Oryctolagus cuniculus: one gene and its partner. The protein of the gene in region 1 purifies or fractionates together with the protein of each later gene. This does not show direct contact. Links are inferred from orthologs where the notes say so. Each region holds a gene or a part of one and is shown on either strand. Other genes may lie near its edges.

Region 1 (3,647 bases):
TGGTGTCCTATTCCCATGGGAATGTGAGGGGCTTTTTTGTACCTGGCCTGATCCTGGGCTGAGTCAGAGGGGGAGGCTGATGGGGCTTTGTCCAGCCTAATGTCTTATGTTCCCTAGTATATGGTTAACTCCAGAAGGGCGGAGCCAGAAGCATTTAGGGGGGAGAAGGGGGAGGGTCAGGAGCTAAGCTCCTTGTGGTATTGAAGGAAACATTGTTTCCTATCACTGTCTACCTTCTTAAAATTTGGGGGCTTTGGACATGGCTCCGGTGTTCCTGCTGGGACTTTGGATGGGGTCAAGGAGGAAGCCGAGCGCTTGCAGACTTCAGCTCTGTCCCTGGTGACGGAAAACCTGATGATGGTTGGAGGAGTGGTCCAGTCCCTCCCAGAGTTTGACCCTTCATGTGTGTGTTGGTGTCCTTGGGTTTCCTTGCCTAGGACATAGGTGTGACCTCTCAAGAACTGGGTCATCCCAGAGTAGGTGTTAAAGATGGGTTGCATTTGGACCTGGGGCCAGGTAGCTATTTGGGAAGTCTCCTGTGAGGGCAGTCTCTCCTGGCTACCTCTGTCAACCCCGCCCCCCTCCCCTGCCACTTCCTGTCTGTCCTATGTTGGCAGCTGGGTGCCCTGGGCCGGCTTCTGCGGTCAGGAGCCATTTTCCCTTTCCTCAGTGGGTGAGGCACTCCCTTCTTCTCTCCACTCCCTTCTCCACTCCCCGCCCCCCCCCCCCCCAGCGGGGGTGGCTTGGGAAGAGGGAGGGAGGGGGGAGGAGGGAGCTGGTGTGCTGGTGTGAATGTCTGCTACAAAGGGAGCTGCCTCCTGGCCTCTCCTCCCCCTCTGTGCCCCTTCCCACCTATCCCTGCCCAGGAGCTCTCAGTATTACCCCAGGCTTTGTGTGTGCTTCCAGCCAGGGGAGGAGGTGGAGCCAGATGGGAGGAGGATTGGCTGAGGGGGAGATGGTGACAGCTGGGCTGATTTGGGCCCCTAGAGAGAAGAGGCTACTGACCCAGGAGGAGCTGGGGAAGAAGAGTAGGGCTGAGATGGGGGAAGGAAATTGTGTGTGGTAGAGGACACGAGGTTGGGCTGGCAACTGAACCTGGGGCGTGGAGTCTGGTTGTTTTGAGCAGTGATGATCCCAGAGGGATTCCAGAAAGGTGTGGTGTCTGGGACCCCGAAGCTGATGGTGTTCTGGGCATGCGCTGAGCCTCCGCTCTGTAGTGTTTGCCTTTGGGTAGACCTTTCATTCTCACTCCCTGGTGTATAGAGTGCTTGGTGGCCAGCTGCAGGAGGCTTGGGCCTAGTTCTCTTGTTTGGTGAGCTGTAGGCATCTCGGTTCAGTTGCACTGGTGAGCACCTGAGGTCTGCTGGAGAAACGGGGAAGAGGGACTGGGCTCTGGCCAGCGGCCTGAGGTGGGCCTGCTCTGAGCTGCCAGGCCTGTTTTGGGTATCTCCAGCTCTCTCGGTGTTTTTGTCCTGAGGATCAGCGGCCTTCTGCGGAGAGCATAGCAGTTCTCTTCAGGAAAATCTGGGGCAGGAGGTGGGGAATGAAGTCGGAAGCCTCTGGATTAGGGCCTGACCTTTTGCTATTGATCTCTTCGCTGCGCATCGCTGTTGGCCAATGTATGCAGAGAACGAAGAGGACCCAGAAGAGGATTTATCAGAAGCAGAGACTCCAAAGCTCAAGAAGAAGAAAAAGCCTAAGAAACCTCGGGACCCTAAAATCCCCAAGAGCAAGCGCCAAAAAAAGGAGGTGAGTGGGTGATTGAATGTTACTGGGACGGCAGGAAGAGGGGGAGCTCTGGGAAGGTTCGGGGTCCTTGGCTCCTCTGGAGTGGCGGGCTGGGTCTTGGCGATGAGCCTCAGGGCTGTCCTGAGGTCAGCATGTGTGTAGCATGTGCGTGTCTGTCTCCCTCTCCCCCTTCCCTGCTCCAGCGTTTGCTCTTATGCCGGCAGCTGGGGGACAGCTCTGGGGAGGGGCCGGAGTTTGTGGAGGAGGAGGAAGAGGTGGCTCTGCGCTCAGACAGTGAGGGCAGCGACTATACCCCTGGCAAGAAGAAGAAGAAGAAGCTTGGGCCTAAGAAAGAGAAGAAGAACAAATCCAAACGGAAGGAGGAGGAGGAGGAAGATGACGATGACGATGATTCCAAGGTGCTGGACCTCTGTCACCTTTTCTTAGCTGTTAACTTCTGTCCTTGCAGCCCCCTGGAACGTTCTCTGTCCACCTCTTTCTATTTATTTCCTGTTAACTCTGTTACCCGGGTCTCACGAGCCATAGTTTGAACTCAAATTCCCTTAGCAAGTGTGGGCACCGGGTGGCAGGACCTTGACCTTGCTCTCTTCTGCAGGAGCCTAAATCATCCGCTCAGCTCCTAGAAGATTGGGGCATGGAAGACATTGACCATGTGTTCTCGGAGGAGGATTATCGCACCCTCACCAACTACAAGGCCTTCAGCCAGTTTGTCCGGTAAACCAGCAGGGGCTTGGTGGGAGGAGACTTCTTCTATGATCTCTCTTCTCTTTCTCTTTTTTTACTCTTAAACATTTTCTCTTTTCTGTGTTTTTTTTTTTTTTTCTTCCATTCCTCTACCAGACCCCTCATTGCAGCCAAAAACCCCAAGATTGCTGTCTCCAAGATGATGATGGTTTTGGGTGCTAAGTGGCGGGAGTTCAGTACCAACAACCCCTTCAAAGGGAGTTCTGGGGCTTCGGTGGCAGCGGCGGCAGCGGCTGCAGTGGCTGTGGTGGAGAGCATGGTGACAGCCACCGAAGTGGCACCACCACCTCCCCCTGTGGAGGTGCCTATCCGCAAAGCCAAGACCAAGGAGGGCAAAGGTGAGATGGGATGCAGTGGGAGAGGGGCCTGGTGTGGACTTAGGATGTCAGACAGAGCATGGACTGCCCTGTTGGCCCTGAGGTAGCAGATGGGAGGGCGCACTGGGTCTTGAGTTTAGGAAGGAGATTGGGGAAGCCCGACACGTGAAGCAAGCTAAGGGAGAGATTTGATTTTCCGTACTCTTTTACCCCTGTGAGATATCTACTTGGATGCATTCTGATTTTTAGGTCCCAATGCTCGGAGGAAGCCCAAGGGTAGCCCTCGTGTACCTGATGCCAAGAAGCCTAAACCCAAGAAAGTAGCACCCCTGAAAATTAAGCTGGGAGGCTTTGGTTCCAAGCGTAAGAGATCTTCGGTGAGTCCCCAGCCCATCCCTTTGCCCAAGGTGCCGTGTCTAATAGAAAGGTGCTGCCTCATGTCGGGACCCGCCCTTCACGTAGAATGTGGGGATTTGGCCACAGAACGGCATGTAGCTGGGCTCCCTGTCTAAGAGTCCTTAATGGCTGCTGATGGCCCTGGTGAAAGAGTGCACCCCTCTCCACCACTCTCCTTCCTCTTGGCTGGCATTTCTAACCTGACTCATTCTTTTCATTCTCTAGAGTGAGGATGATGACTTAGATGTGGAATCTGACTTCGATGATGCCAGTATCAATAGCTATTCTGTTTCTGATGGTTCCACCAGCCGCAGCAGCCGGAGCCGCAAGAAACTCCGAACCACTAAAAAGAAAAAGAAAGGTGTGTTTCCTGTCTGCATCTGTCTGTGGAGGGGTGACGTGGGAGTGACTGGGGCAGAATCTCCCTTAGGAGATGGGGTG
Region 2 (2,390 bases), on another chromosome or scaffold:
GAGCCAAGCACAGGCTGGCCCCAGCTCGAGAGAGGCAGAGGCGGGCTGGCTGGAGTTGTTCTGACCACGTGCTCCAGGGCGAGTTCCTTAAGCCATCAGAGCCTTGGCTCCCTGGCTGCCGGGTGCCCGCCTCTCCCCCTCCGGAGGCCCCCGGGCCCTCACCTTGACCCAGAGGTCCAGGTGCACCTTGTACTGCTTCTGCTGCTCCTCGGCCAGCTTCTTGTAGTGCTCCTTCTGGCTCTGCGAGATGCGCTGCCAGCGGCTGCCAATCTCCACCATGCGCTCTTTCAGTGGCAGGTGGTTCAGCTCGCCGTTGGACAGCAGCTCCTGGGAGAACTTCTGGTAACCGTTCCTGGGGGCGACGGGCAGGGCAGGCAGGGTCAGGACCCCCGCAGGGCAGCCCCCTCCCCAGCCCCAGGTGGGTGGCGGCCGCGGGGCGCTCACATGGGCGGCTTCTTGGGTTCCCCCTGGAACTTCATCTTCTTGGAAGAGTTGGCGGCAGCCGGAGGCGCCCTCATCTCACTCAGCTCCCTCTGTGCAGAAAACCATGAGGGTCACATCAGCCCCACCCCATGCCCGCAGCCCCCTCATCAGGCTCTCCTATGTGCTAGGCAAGGGGGGGAAACTGAGGCAAAGTTGGAGAGCAGCTTCCTAGTAACACACAGTTGGGACAGGTGTCAGTGCTTTCAGAGTTGCTTTGGTATCCCCACGAGCCACCTGGGGGGGTCGCGCCCCCCCCCAGTTTAACTGAGACAGAAGAGGTTTGCTCAGGCTCAAACAAGCCATGCTAGGATTCCAGGCTCCAGAGGCCCACGAGCAAGGACTACCCCGAGGGAGGTCCCCTGGCCTCCAAGGCAGGAGGTGGTCCCATCCCGCCCTCCCACTCCCACCTCATAGCGCTTTTGGTCTTCGGCCGCCTTCTTAATCCACATCAGCTTTTCCTTCTTCTCCATGTTGTTCCAGGTCATCTCCATGGCTTTCAAGGCCTTCACCCGGTCGTTCTGGGGGCAGACGGGGCGATGAGCTGTGCAAGGGGTCCCCAAGGGCCCGAGGCTGCCCTGCGAGCCCTGCCCCACTGCCCTGCCACCTTGAAGCGGGCCAGGTAGTCGCCGATGACGCTCTGCTGCCAGATCTCCTCGGCTCTCTTGGGCGACTCGGGCAGCTTGCCCCGCTCCTCGCGCTCGGCCCCGGGCTTCCTCTCCGACTGCGCCTTCAGCGCCGCCTCGCGCGCCTTGTACTTGGCCTGCAGCAGGGGAACCGCACAGGCGTCAGCTTCCCCGCCGCCCGCAGGGGGCGCGCGACGCCCAGTCCCGCAGCAGGAGGGCGGGGCCCGCGGCCGCGTGGGCGGGAGCAGCTGTCTCCCGCCTGGGGCTCAGCCTCCGCCCACGGGCCTGCTCCCCGGGGAGCCTCAGCCCTCAGCTGACAGCTTCCCGCCTTCCGGCTCGGCTCGCGGGGCTCCCAGCCCCGCCAGCTGAGCGCGGGCGCACGTGCGGGCCGCACGGGGCGAGGGGAGGCGCAGCGCTGGGCTCCCGGGCGAGCCTGACCTTCTTCTTCTCGGACAGGTCGTTCCACATGCGAGCCAGCAGGCGGGTCAGCTCGCTCTCCGAGAGCTCGGGCCGCTCCTCTTGCAGCTGCCGCCGCTTCTCCTCGGAGAAGATGAACATGGCCGACACGGGCCGCTTGGGCTTCTCCGAGCCCCCCTGTGCAAGTGCAGAGAGGGTCGGGGTCCACGGGGTGCCGACGGGGGAGCCCTGCCCCAGCCCCGACACCTGCCTGCCCGCCGAGGGGAGCCGGGGGAGCCTGCCCACCTTGCCTCCTTCCTGGGAGGGCTTCTTGGAGGCCGGGCTGGTGGCTTGCTTCTTGTTGATGTTCAGCATCTTCTCCTCGCCCAGGACCCGCTGCTGCTCCTCCTCGGGCAGGCTCTGGCACGGAGTGGGGAGGGCAGGGGTGAGGGCTCGGGCTCCCCAGGGCAGCCTCTGCCCAGCGCCCCGACCTCAGCCCGACGCTCACCTCGAGGAAACGCAGCAGCTCCACCTCGTAGTCTTTCTTTTTCTGGGAAGGTAAGGGGAACCGCGGTCAGCCTTGGGCAGCCTCGCCGGAGAGCCCGCAGGCCCCAGGGGCTGCGGCACGCGCGCGGCTCACCTGGTCGCACTTCTTGTGGTAGGCGTCCTTCTCCTTCTGCGACAGCAGCTTCCACTGCTGGCTGCACAGCACCATGCGCTCCGTGCTGGGCACGTCCTTCATGCTGGCCATGAGCTCTGCGCAGTACAGCGAGTAGCTGTTCCTGTGGGGATCGCGGGAGGCGAGGCGGCACCCCGTGAGCCACCTACGTGCCCGCCACAGGGCCTGGCCCCCGCCTGCCTGCCCGCCCGCCCGCCGCCCGGGAGCAG

The links. The genes of interacting proteins can lie anywhere in the genome.
Region 2: the proteins of CHD4 (region 1) and UBTF purify together in Homo sapiens (affinity purification with mass spectrometry, with the first as the bait; 3 studies listed by BioGRID). This does not show direct contact. The link is inferred for Oryctolagus cuniculus from reciprocal best matches to the Homo sapiens genes CHD4 and UBTF.

The regions. Positions count from the first base shown.
Region 1 is NC_091440.1:102,904,711-102,908,357, forward strand, and holds part of CHD4 (chromodomain-helicase-DNA-binding protein 4), read left to right. Parts: intron 1-1,627; coding exon 1,628-1,749; intron 1,750-1,931; coding exon 1,932-2,147; intron 2,148-2,344; coding exon 2,345-2,463; intron 2,464-2,589; coding exon 2,590-2,831; intron 2,832-3,059; coding exon 3,060-3,187; intron 3,188-3,431; coding exon 3,432-3,567; intron 3,568-3,647. UniProt on the Homo sapiens protein: ATP-dependent chromatin-remodeling factor that binds and distorts nucleosomal DNA. Acts as a component of the histone deacetylase NuRD complex which participates in the remodeling of chromatin.
Region 2 is NC_091448.1:19,049,819-19,052,208, reverse strand, and holds part of UBTF (nucleolar transcription factor 1), read right to left. Parts: intron 2,285-2,390; coding exon 2,143-2,284; intron 2,053-2,142; coding exon 2,011-2,052; intron 1,923-2,010; coding exon 1,809-1,922; intron 1,701-1,808; coding exon 1,545-1,700; intron 1,244-1,544; coding exon 1,088-1,243; intron 1,002-1,087; coding exon 891-1,001; intron 534-890; coding exon 445-533; intron 353-444; coding exon 163-352; intron 1-162. UniProt on the Homo sapiens protein: Recognizes the ribosomal RNA gene promoter and activates transcription mediated by RNA polymerase I (Pol I) through cooperative interactions with the transcription factor SL1/TIF-IB complex.